Linked DNA regions of Nothobranchius furzeri. The protein of the gene in region 2 interacts with the protein of the main gene of each other region in a biochemical or structural test. Links are inferred from orthologs where the notes say so. Each region holds a gene or a part of one and is shown on either strand. Other genes may lie near its edges.

Region 1 (4,294 bases), on a different chromosome or scaffold from region 2:
TGTGTGTGTGTGTTGTTCAGCCTTTATCAAAATGAATTAAATTACCAGGATGTGTATCATTCCTTCTTCCTTTTCTAGTTTTCCGGTATTCCTCTAATTTGACCCAGAAGTGAGGCTGAAAAATAAATGGCAAAACTGCAGTAAAATGTTCAGGGCCCAGAAACCCATTCATTTACACACACACACACACACACACACACACACACACACACACACACACACACACACACACACACACACACACACACACACACACAAATGCTAAAGTGAAAGGACAACTGGCTGAGTACAGATGCAATAGGCAACAAAGAAGATGGAAATGTCATCAAAAGGAGCCAAATGCACCAGGATCAGCAGCAGCAGCCCGGGCATCACTACACGGCACCAAGAGGAGGCACAAGAAGCACCCAGGCAGACCGCCTCTCCCGGGGCAGTTGGCCCTCACAGAGGAAACACTGATAAAACCTAAAGAGATTAAGATAACAAATCAAATATCAAATTTAGCATGAACACTGGATTAATTAAATTCTAATTAAAACACACTGATAAAAGATAACCAAGTAGAAAGCAACAATAAAATATGTAAACATTATGTAATATATAAGGGCACCTCGCCTTGGGAGTGTGTCCTGACTTTGGGTATAACAAGGAGACGGCTGCCAGAGGAGAGCAGGGGCCGCGAAGGCTCGTATTTCAGAAGAAGTTCTGAGAAATAAGAAGGCCCAAGACCATTAAGACATTTAAAAAACATTAAAAGAACCTTCAAATCGATCCTGAAACGTATGGGAAGCTAATGCAGACGGGTTTAACGTGCTCCTGCATCTTGGTCTTCTCCTTGGACACGTGCTGCTGAATTTTGAAGAAATTGTAAACCTGAGGTGCTCTTTTCGGGAAAACCAGAATTCAGCATAGCCACAATGCAAAAGCAATCAAAACGTTCAATATATGCTCCTCATTTTGGTTTATATAAATCATATCTCAGCTAGTTGTTTGTGTTATAAACCCCTGATAATATGTGAGCAAATTTCATGTTCTTTTGATGTTCTTTAAAATGTTTGTGATGTTCTGAATGCAAATATTTGTTAAAAAAATACAACAACAATTACATTTCATAAAATAAAATAAAAACATTAACGATTCTGTTGGGGGACACAGTTTGGAGGCTTTTACGATGAATAACTTAAATTTAAATGAGACTAGAGAGAGCATGACTAGTTATGTAAAAAAATGACATATTTTGACGTTTGGACAGTTGCATTTCAGTGTCACTAAGAAAGTGGGAATGTATGCAACAACAGTTGATTGGTAGGGGGGGAATTAAAATGAACGATATGATCCCACTTGTGTTATTTTTAACATTTGGAAAGTCTACTACCACCACAAAAATAATCCTCCTCACAACTCATAGGTTTGACACTGTTGTTACCTTAAAATGTACGAGCCTTTAAACCAGCTTTCAGTTCTGTGATCCTAAGGTTTCCGGGAGGTCCTGGAATGCAGCACGTCCCTCTCCTGGTCATTTGTGGTAATGCGGCCGCGGCTCCGCGCTGGGACTGGTCCTTTCGCAGCCATTTTCTGTCCAACCAAACAGCCGTCTCAGGGAGGGAACCAACCAGGGCTTCATTGCAGGTTTGTGTTTGGCTCCGGCCAATGATTGCTAACCGATTCCTCGTTAGCTCGAATGGAAATATCCGTCTCTGACTGATTTTTTTTTTCATTTGTTGTCTGAGTGAATGAAGGCTGCTCATCAGGAAGAATGCACTTTTAAAATTTGTGTAAACATTTCGGCCCGGCTACGTCTTGCTCTGCTTGTGCACGACAAAAGAGCAGGCCGTTGCAGGATTGTGCTGCAGTGGATTTACGATGAGAATTAATGCGAAGGGCATTATGCCTCTAAGGTTATCTCCAAAAGGTAAAGTCCCTCCAGGACAGTCTCTGCTCATCATGCTGAAATTATTGGCTTTCTACATAATTTCAAATCCACTAAGCTAGTTATTGGTTAACATTAGCTAGCGTTAGCTAAATGTCCCACATACCCCCAGCTGACGTCTGCTCTGTAGCCACACAGTGACCAAACACATCATATCACCACAGTTAAACATTTTACATGTCACTAAAATCATCTACTTGCTGTTTAACAGACGACATGACCCAATTCAGCTAGCCAGCGACCACAATGTCGAGGCTGCTTGAGGGTTTTTCTGAATATAGCGGCAATTTCCGCTAGTAGCATGAATGAAGGGGTTTATATTTACGTAAGTTTGAGGTTTAAATTTGATTAAACATTTATTTTAACAATACTGGGGAGTATGATATTTTTTAAAGCGGAACTAATAAAACCGCTTAAATTCAGCGGCGGACACATTTTCAGTTGCGCCAAATGAGCTGCAGGAAAACAGACCAGCAGGTTCAGTCTCCGTGTGTGTTTGATCAAAGTTTTACTAAAAATACAAAGAGATGGTTTTGTAATTTGTATTTTGAAAGTCCTTACTGTCAGCCTTCTCAGGACATGACGTCAGCGCTGAGCACAAAACGTGCCAATGTTTGTCAAAACCAGTCTATGATTATTAAGCAACTAACAGTCTATGTTTAAGTGGCTTTGATCTGCCAACTTACATCAATCACTTCCTGCAGCTGAAACAGGAAATATTCATGGCTGGCTTCAAGATGTTGGCATCTGGAGCCTTTTTCTAATAAGTTTCATTTTAGGCAAAACCTAAGTATGTGTGTTACAGATGGATGGAGACAGTGCAACCACCGATGCCTCTCAGTTGGGCATCACTGGAGAATACATGGCTTCCAGTCACTATGTTCTCCAGTCTCAGGATGGTTAGTAGGACAAGGACCAGTTTAAAATCACCATCATTTCTTTTCCCTGGGTTTTAAGACTAAATTTGTGTCTGTTTTGTAGATGATGGAGAGGAGAATTTAAATGATCACGAAGATGGCGGCATAAAGGAGAACTACAGGGAGCAGGACATCTACCTTCCTATCGCCAACGTAGCTCGCATCATGAAGAATGCTGTTCCGCAGACCGGGAAGGTTTGTAAGAGAGGAGAGGAGGAATCATCAGGAAAAGGCTCTTATTGACAGAATCTGATTTGTTTTTCACCAAATTCTTTTTTTAAACAAAGTACTAAAGTTTTCATGTTTTAATATAGAATCTGATTTCAATATCCTATTGCAGAAATCATAGGTCCACTGTTATTTTTATATGAATGAAACCATTTAGCCTCCATCCATCATTCTGGGACTGATGCTAAGTAATTAACTGGGGACTTAATGCTTCTTGAGGGCTTCACTTCACTTTAGGAGTTAAAGTTCATACATTTAAATTTATTTTAATCTTTTTTTTACTCCTAACAGATTGCAAAAGATGCCAAAGAGTGTGTGCAGGAGTGTGTGAGTGAGTTCATCAGTTTCATCACATCTGAAGCGAGCGAGCGCTGCCACCAGGAGAAGAGGAAGACCATCAATGGGGAGGATATCCTATTTGCCATGTCGACACTGGGCTTTGACATGTATGTGGATCCACTAAAGCTCTACCTGCAGAAGTTCAGAGAGGTGACAACACAATCTCTATACACACTGCTGTATGAAATAAAAACTATTTTGTATGTAGTTTTACTTTTGTTGCACAGAAACAAATAATTTTCTAAGAATAAGAGCAGGTCTTATAATTTAAGGCATGGTTTTGGTCCAGAAGTGTTCAGAGTACTTATGACTCTTTGACCTTTCTTCACAAAGTTTTAAATATCATATAAAATAAAATGACTGTGTCGTTTTGGTCATATCCTTAAAATAACATCAGCTTTGTTATAACAACATTTAGCTCAGTGTCTGTAGAGCTGAGTCGTTGTTTGCTAATGGTGGTCAGGTGCATCTTACATTGTCTTCTTAAGATAATCAGATTTAGGTCTGATGTTGATTATTATTATTAAAATCCATCCTACAGCTCAGCTGATGTCTTTCTGACACATAAAAGTACAGAGAAAAATGTTCATCTGATTCCACTACCAATTGTTGGATTAATAAATTGAGGTGGATTTCAGTCCACTCGTCTCTGTACCCAGTCACGTTTCCATGCTTTTGTTCTCCTCTCAGGCCATGAAGGGAGAAAAGGGCATCCCAGGGGTGTCAGTGGGGGAAAGCCTGGGTGAGGACCTCACAGAGGACAGCTTCAGTAAGTGATGCAGATGAAACTTCTGGCAAACATTTTTAAATTCCTCATCGTGTTTGTCCTTGAATTGCTCCAACATTTCTTCCTTTTCTCCAGCAAACCCACTTCCTGCTG
Region 2 (4,083 bases):
ACGCCATGTCCACATCCGGGTTAACGCCCACTTATATGCAACTGAATGAGTGACGTTGACAATCCACCTGCTCACAGCCATTTACACTCTGGAGTTATGCACAGGATGAGGAACCTTGCAAATGTGGAAATTCTCACAAATCAAGAGCCTTAGTTTGGGAGTTTTCCCCTGTGAGTGAGCAGGAGTGTTGACTATCTACAGCTTCAATGCTTGTTCCTGGACTTTAATGTGAGTTGTTTGATGACTGGTCAAAGAGATCAGGATATATATATATATATATTAAATAAAGGAATTAAGGGTGTTTTCACTGGAGTACACAAATCAATGCATGGTATAGAGTTACCGAGTTATACAGTCTTTGAAAACAGACAGAAGTTTAGAGGACATGCATTGACCATGGAAATGTAGAGCTGCCAGGGCAATGGAGAGCTGTCTTATGCTTATTATAAAGCCATTGTGCCATTTTATTTTTTGTTAATCCTTTAAAGTGCGGAAATAATTTTTCACAAAATAAATCATTTGATATAATCAATGTTTAAACCTATGGTTGAAAAACAAGGCAAGGGTAATGTTTTTACTTGTGGGGATAAATAATTTTAGGGGTTGTGTAAAATGTCTGAACCATCTGGTTAGAACTTTTCCAGAAGGACCAGGCATGGATTTCTGTATTTGTATTGTCACATTTGTTCGCAAAGTGTCTAGATCTAATAAAACAAAACTAACCAACAAAACTCTGATAAATCAGACAACCTGTGCCAAAGTTGTTTGACAAAATGCAAATTTAGTCTTTCCAGTTTTAACTCAACAAGGAGGTGATGCAAGCTTGGGTTGTTGGAAAATAAATTATGTTTTACTATTATTAAAACACTTTGTGATTACAGATGCAGATTTAACTGATGTATATATTTTTATTTACATCCTCTCCTCCACACCCGCTTCCACCACCAGCAGCACCACCACCGTCACTTCGCAGCCTTTTCTGCTCGACACTATCTTCATCCTAACTCCGTTGGAAAGGAGGCTGAAATGACGGATGCAGCCATGGAGGCGACACCCGGGGACAGCGCATTTGCATCGGAAGAGGCGCTTTGAGTTTACGGAGCGAAGCCGATGCGTGTGTCTCCCTCGTCTTTACCTTCGCCGATCCCTTCCTCCTGCTCCTCCGCTGGCAGAAATTTATAAAGAACAAAAAATCCGACGAGGGAGGGAGGGGGTTGATGTACGCCGAGGCTGAAATCGAGAGGCGAACCCAGGGAAAGAGGAGCAATTTCTACTCGGGACTTTCCCCCTCTTAGTACCCCAAAAGGAGGGGGAAAAGTCGCAATATTAGAAACGAAAAGGAATGAGCTTCTAGGGGCGTGAAAACGTCTGCAATTGTGGAGACTTTATATATTTTTATTTCGAAAAAATATGGCCGAGAACGTTCTGGACTCTGGCCCGCCTTCAGCAAAGAGGCCTAAACTCTCCTCTCCGGCACTTTCTGCCTCCGCTAGCGATGGTAAGTTTTGGTTTATTTTATCATTTGTAACGGAAATATTCGTTAACATTATCCTTTTTTAGTGACTTGTTTGCATAACAGAGGCCAAAGACCCGGGTTTGTTCTTCTGTTTTTGTCGTGGCTTGCTAATTTTAGCGTGTGTGTGTCGGACGTGAGGAAGGGATGTTAGCTCACATGCTAACAGCCATTTTAGCCGGTGTTGTGCCGAAATGAGCTCCCCTGCCGCGAAACGCACCACCATTAAGGGAAGTTGACTTGTTTTCAATTTTAACAAGTTAAAAGTGACAAATTTATATATGGTTTTCAGTTCATTTGACGACTAGATAAAAGAAAGATGTAGCTTAATGATGCAGTTTGTGTGCTTTTAAGTTAAATTGATGTTAGGATTCGCCTCTTTCTGACCAGGAAGGAATTTCAGCCACTAAATTTACACTATCTTCGAAACTTGCAAAAATACCGATACTTATAGAAACATTTTGCTACTCTCCACGGGATGGGTTAATTGCCATACTGAAACATTGACTAACACACATCCATATATCAAAATACGACCCGTAAATAATTTAATTGAGCAACATACTAAATTGATTGTTTCTTTTGACTTTCTTCTTCAGACTTCCACTTAAGTAATTAATCAAACTACCATCAAATGCGTTTGCCTACAACGATGTGCCATTTTTAGCACAACACCTGAGATAGCTGCTAGCCACAAGGCTAACCGAGTCCACAACTGTCCGTTCCTAATGACCACTTTATTCGGACTGATTGTGAGCTCAGTGTTCATGTGCCTTATTCTGAAGTCTTTGTTGTCTTATAGTTATATCACACTGTTAGTCATTTTCTAACAAAGCCGCGAATTGTGAGATTTCTAGGCTAGCGTCGTCTTAGAGGATCTTGTTTTCCAAACTAACTCGTTGATAATGTTAGCGAAAACAGAGGGTACTAATAAACATTTAGGCTAGTCTATCTTCAGGCCCAGTGTTTTAAGTCGTTATTGAACTTATTTTTCTCGATATAGTATAGTTTAAAAAAGTAATAGTAGTTAATGGCGTAATGTATTGGCTATTACGGCCTAAGAAGAAAAACCGGAGCGTGGATAGCGTCGTGCCATAACAGACATTAGCCAGGGAGTCACGTTGACTAGATTCTCTGTCACATAAAATGTAATCATTTGTTGTCATCTTTACGATGATCGGCTTCGTCTTTGGTTGTCTAGCACTAATCTGTCATTGAATCGATGAAGAAATACTCCAGACGTCACACACGTTTTGTTACGTTGCATGATGTTTTGAGAGCGCTGCAGTGCTTTATAAGAAAAATCCTCCTCGTGTTGGGATGCCATTTATTCTTCCAAAGATTGTTGTTTTCTAAGCGTTAGGAGTGACGTTGACACAAGCTATTTAAACTTAAGTACAAATCTGAAAAGCATGCATCTAGCTGAATACAGACTCATGGTTTTTATTCTATCACTTGGTGATTCTAGCTGTGTCATAGTTAGAATAAGTGGTTAAAATGTGAGATGGGATTCAGTGAAGCATCAGCAAACAGTGAAAAGCAGCTAAATGTCCAAAACCTCTAAATAAGTCTTTCAGTCCATCTATTATGACCAAAACATTAATTTGAGTCACATGACTGTTTCTGCTGATCATTGATGTTATGGATGTTTTGATTACACTTGTGCACATTTTGTTTAACTTGATTTGATCAACTATTTTAATATTATTAATAATTTGTAGAAGTACGGGATGCTTTCACCTCTCCATTCCCCCATCAGGTTAAGCTGTGTGTAGTTGTTGTACCAGGCCACTAGCTTTGAAAGTCACTTCTAGTTTTGAGCTTGGTTGTTAAACTTGTCATCATGGGTGGGTTTTTTTCCATTACCTATTGTTGACAGTTGTGTACCCCTTCCTGGAGTATATCAGCTCAATATGGAATTGACTCTTTGGAAGTTTTGTCCTTCAGTTCAAATGATCTTCTTAAACTTTGTATTTATTCTTTTCAGATTTTGGTTCACTATTTGATTTGGAGCACGACCTCCCAGATGAGCTCATCAGCTCTAATGAACCAGGTCTGGTCAATGGTGGGGACCTCAACCAGTTGCACACCAGTTTGGGAGGAGGACCTGCAGGCTTGGGTGCAGGAGGTGGAAGTGGAGCAGTAGGAGGAATGGGGCTTGGACTTGGTCCTGGAGGGGGCCCCACAAGTATTGGTGGAGGCCAAGATGCAGTGGCTAAGCACAAACAACTGTCTGAGCTTTTACGAACGGGGCCAACCACATCTGGTCAACAGGGGCATCAAGGAGCCATGGGCAGCCCAGGAGGCCCCACAGCCATGGGGCAACATTTGGTGAACATGAAGGCCCCCTCAGGTCAAGGGCCCCAGCAGATGATGGGACAACAGCATCTTTCTCCTCAGCAGCAGGCCAACATGATGCAGCAACAACAGAGTGGAATGATGGCTAACAGGGGCATGATTGGTGTGCCGCAGAAAGGCAATAACGGACAGCAGCAGCCAGGGATGATTGGAAACCAGGTGATGAATGGTTCCCCCAGGATGGGCTTCGGTAATCAGGGGATGGCTGGTGG
Region 3 (4,271 bases), on a different chromosome or scaffold from region 2:
GAAATATAAGAGAGGCTTAGCTCTTTGAGTTGTAGGAAGGGATTGGTGTGAAATTGTGGGCTGAAATGTTTTACCAAAACTAAACAGACTTAACAGCCAGTACTTAATTTTAACTAAATAATGATAATAACTAGACTTTTATCATTTAAATTCATAGTCTTGCTTCTAGTTGTTAAGGATTTACTTCTCAGCTCCGTGGATCAGCTCCTCCTCACTGTTCCTGAGGCACATTTCAAGACCTGCAGTGAAAGGGCATTCTCTGTGACCACCGAAACTCTGGAAAGCTCTCTAAGTTAGGTTCCATCACTGCTTTCAAATCTCATCTTAAAATGCACTATTTCTCCTTGGCTTTTAACTTTTAAACCCGGTTCTGGTATTTTGTCTACAGGTTTTTCCTCCTTGCATCTTCGTTGCTTAATTTTACATTTTCTGGATTTTATGGTTCTAATTACCTGTTTGGTTTTTATTCCTTTGATTTTAACGGTACTGTCAATTTTATTGTGATTGATCAGTTGTAATACTGTGTTAAAAGTGTTCAACAAATAAAATGGTAATGTGTGGTTTACCTGATGATTAAAAAGCACTCTTTTATATGCATGTATAAATGAATAATGTAAAACAGTTTCTTGTCCGGGGATCGGACCGCCAAGGTTCCCGCCTTGGTCTGCCACCCGATCCACATTGCACCGGACCCTTCATGTTCCTCCTGCGGGTGGTGGGTCCACAGTTGGATGAGCCCATGTATCCGGTTCGGGCTGGGCCTGGCCGGGCCCCATGGGCGGATACAAGCGGCCGAAATTAGTTTCCTCCGTAGGGTAGCCGGGCTCAGCCTTAGAGATGGGGTGAGGAGCTCGGACATTCTGGAGGGACTCGGAGTAGAACCGCTGCTCCTCCGGATCGAAAGGAGCCAGTTGAGGTGGTTTGGGCATCTGGTCAGGATGCCTCCTGGACGCCTCCCCGGGGAGGTGTTTCGGGCATATCCTGCCGGCAGGAGGCCCCCGGGTCGACCCAGGACACGTTGGAGAGGTTACATCTCCAATCTTGTCCGAGAACGCCTTGGGGTCCTGCCGGAAGAGCTGGTGGAGAAGGCCGGGGAGAGGACGGTCTGGACGGAGCACCCTAGTTGGGATGCTGCCCCCGCGACCTGGACCCGGATAAGCAGAGGAAGACGACGGCAATGTAAAACAGTATGATAATTAATATATTTAAGGGAGGGGGGGATGGCACAAGCCTACCCCAAACAGGCAAGATGCTGACAAGATGCTGAGAAGATAATCCTAATTTTATAATGAAAATATAACTTTTTAAAGAACGTGCTCAAGCTCGGGTAATAACTGAAAAACATGGAGATCATAAATGGATAGAGTGATGAAGAGTAGCGTGATCATGATGGTTTTTTAACGTTTGTTCACCCACCAAGGAGGAAAATCTCGCGCCCCTCCCATGAGCGTTGCCTCGGTGACCGCCCGTTTACGTGATGACGTCGGATGTATATGAGCGCAGGCGGCGGGATCTCTCTCCCTTTTACCGCCATCGGAGCGGAGTCTCTTTTCTTCACTGCGTAGTGTCCCTCGTCTAGTCCAGTCTCCGGTCTCAGAGCGAAGGTAAGGGACGGCAGCTGGTAGTGGTTCGGACACCGACGCCCCGAACTCTCCCGTGAGCGACGAAGTTCGGGTTTAATGCTGTAGCGTAAACAAACCGGCTGAGAAGGGAAGACGGCGGTGCTCTGCTAATGCTAGCGAACCAGATAGCGGCAACAGCAGCAGCCATTGAGACTTGCTCCTCCATGATGTGTTAACCATTGACTGTTAGGTGTTAACGTTACACGCGCTTTAAAAATGGTAAAACAGCGGCCATCTTCGTGTGTCTTTAGTAGTTTTCTTTCCCGAATAATGAAGTCGTTAAAGTATAGCACCTCAGACGTTTCCCGCAACTGTCGATTGTTTGCGACATTTTGTTGACACGTGTTTCGTCATTTTTGCATTTATTGACTTGACCTCGTTTTTTTCTGTGAAGCTGATGCTTGGAGTGGGGAACGGACTGGTCAAGGCCGATGGACATTTGTGTTGCATAAGGGAGAAAACGTGTTACCGAAGAGGTGGCACCGATTTCTAAGTGGACGGTATTGTGTGGTCCTGTTCCTCCCACTGGCTCAGCTCGGGCAGTGCGCATCAAGCTAAGCGACCTGCTAGCTTAACTAGCAGGAAGTGTTGAAGCATTCAGCAGCGGACAGGCCGGCTAAAGTTTCCCCGGTGATGAGCCAGGGGCTCGGCCTGCGTTTGTAGCGACAAAGCGCTCCTTTGCTGTTCAAGCAGGTTGGCGTTTTAACTCGGGTTGATGTAGTTCCAGAATGTGGCTTCAAAACAAGAAGCGACATAGCGGGACTTGAAAATGTGTGATGGTTTGGTAGACTTCAGCATGCAACACGTGGTCGGTGGATGGAGACGAAAAGACCTAAACAAAAGAATGATTTGGACGGTCTGTTGGTCCGTGATGGTAAACGTGTGTGAACCGCACTGCCTGTGTTAACCTTTGGATTAAAGACGAGTCCATTGTTGTTGGGCTGTGGAATCATAAAATACACTTGATATTAAAATAAGTTTATTTTTGTATTTCAGATTTTAGAGTGGAGGCTCAGATTAGCACTTATTCTGAAAACGTTAATTTGTAATCAATAGTTATTTAAAATCTGAATATCCTTTCATTGAGTTTAAATTCTAATTTCTAATACAGTTATGTTCAAAAGGATGGCTACAAGTACAGAGTGCTTCCAAATGACTCGAGTTAGTCTATGAAACGCATTTTATAAAGTCTTTGAGTTATTTAAATGTTTTAGTTCTAATTAGATGTTTAAAGGTTTAAATGAACATAGCAGTGAGGCGCATATCATCTGGAGATTTAACAAGGTCAAGTCCAGTTCACTAGACATTTAATTGAAACTGGTTGAGTTCATTTTACTCTCCTATACTTGATGTTAGTTCAAGTCAGCTTAAAAAACCTTAACGCAAACCCTTCTGGTGGTTTTCAGTCCTGGTTGCACACACACAAGTCAAAGTGCCACTACATTAAGTCGTGGAGATGTGATTCAATATGTTGGCGTCTGTTCCAGATACAGATGTAGATTTTAGGTTGTATGGGATCCCCATGTCTGCCTTTGTCACTGATTTCTAGACATGGCTAAGGTGTTGAGGGGATTTGTTTTGGTGGCCTAAGGATAAAGTCTCGGCTTTCTGCAGAGGATGTGGGCCTGTTTGCTTCATCAGGCAATGATCTCCAGCTTTTGCTGGAATGGTCTTAAGCCCGATGTGAAGTAGCAGGGATGAAAATTGGTACCTCCAAATAAGAGAAAATGGTTGATAGAAATTTTGGCTGGACAGTAAATAGAAAATTGGATTTAGAGGCCTGCCAATGGGGTTTTTTCCCCCCAGACCAATGCCGATTTCTAAAGAATTTCGTTGCCAATGGCCGATATCTAAAGCCGATTATTAAGGCTGATATATACATTTTAGCAGCACATTGATTGTGAAAGAAAACTGAACACTCACTGTGTGCAATATAAATTACATAAGTCAATAAATCTCTTAATATTTATTGAACTTCAAGTATAAAACAAACACAAAACATAAAAAAAACCAATGTGTTGTGGTCCTTCGGATCCTTTCTTCAGTCTAGTAGTGGCGGCAGTTGGCCACACAGGTTTATTTATTTTTATCAGCTTTTTAAAATAATTTTGGCCGATATAGAAAAATTGAATATATTTGTTGGCCTTTAATGGAAATGAGCTATTAAAGATAGGAAGGTTGGTCACCCTGGAAGGGCTCAGAGTAGATCTGCTGCTCCTCCATATCAGCATTAAGTAACTTAATGGCACTAGTAACTTGCTGTGCTGCACATGTTTTGATTGGGCATTGGAATATTTTCATATGTAAAGAAGGCCTCTGGTATTCACTCATGTTTTGAGTTGTACAAAGGAAATTTACTTATGTCATACATATGAATGGTTTGATACATCTGTGTATCAGCCACAGAGACTCAAACAAGTCTCTGTGGCTAAGGTCCACATGTTTGCTTTAGTGCTGGTCAGGGTCCTGTTTTGTCGTTGTTATGAAGTTAAACTCCTGTTTCAGTCAAAGAGTAAAAAGTAAATTTAAGGTCATGTTTGGTGTGTCCTTGGTATGTTTTCCTTCTTTTGTTCCCCGGTGAAAAGAAACAAATAGTGTTGAACAGCACATTTTTCTCAGATGGACAAAGGAGAGAACGAGTCCGTTTGG

What was found.
Region 1: the proteins of ep300a (region 2) and nfyba form a complex in vitro, tested with the Homo sapiens proteins (2 studies listed by BioGRID, with this or other methods). The link is inferred for Nothobranchius furzeri from reciprocal best matches to the Homo sapiens genes EP300 and NFYB.
Region 3: the proteins of ep300a (region 2) and nap1l1 form a complex in vitro, tested with the Homo sapiens proteins (3 studies listed by BioGRID and IntAct). The link is inferred for Nothobranchius furzeri from reciprocal best matches to the Homo sapiens genes EP300 and NAP1L1.

What each region holds. Positions count from the first base shown.
Region 1 is NC_091741.1:63,172,643-63,176,936, forward strand, and holds the start of nfyba (nuclear transcription factor Y, beta a), read left to right. Parts: upstream 1-1,491; 5' UTR 1,492-1,494; coding exon 1,495-1,629; intron 1,630-1,638; exon of another isoform or gene 1,639-1,912; intron 1,913-2,735; coding exon 2,736-2,829; intron 2,830-2,911; coding exon 2,912-3,042; intron 3,043-3,366; coding exon 3,367-3,564; intron 3,565-4,104; coding exon 4,105-4,183; intron 4,184-4,276; coding exon 4,277-4,294. UniProt on the Homo sapiens protein: Component of the sequence-specific heterotrimeric transcription factor (NF-Y) which specifically recognizes a 5'-CCAAT-3' box motif found in the promoters of its target genes.
Region 2 is NC_091756.1:27,988,457-27,992,539, reverse strand, and holds the start of ep300a (histone acetyltransferase p300), read left to right. Parts: upstream 1-1,272; 5' UTR 1,273-1,410; coding exon 1,411-1,498; intron 1,499-3,500; coding exon 3,501-4,083. UniProt on the Homo sapiens protein: Functions as a histone acetyltransferase and regulates transcription via chromatin remodeling. Acetylates all four core histones in nucleosomes. Histone acetylation gives an epigenetic tag for transcriptional activation.
Region 3 is NC_091741.1:58,517,998-58,522,268, forward strand, and holds the start of nap1l1 (nucleosome assembly protein 1-like 1), read left to right. Parts: upstream 1-1,468; 5' UTR 1,469-1,604; intron 1,605-4,271. UniProt on the Homo sapiens protein: Histone chaperone that plays a role in the nuclear import of H2A-H2B and nucleosome assembly.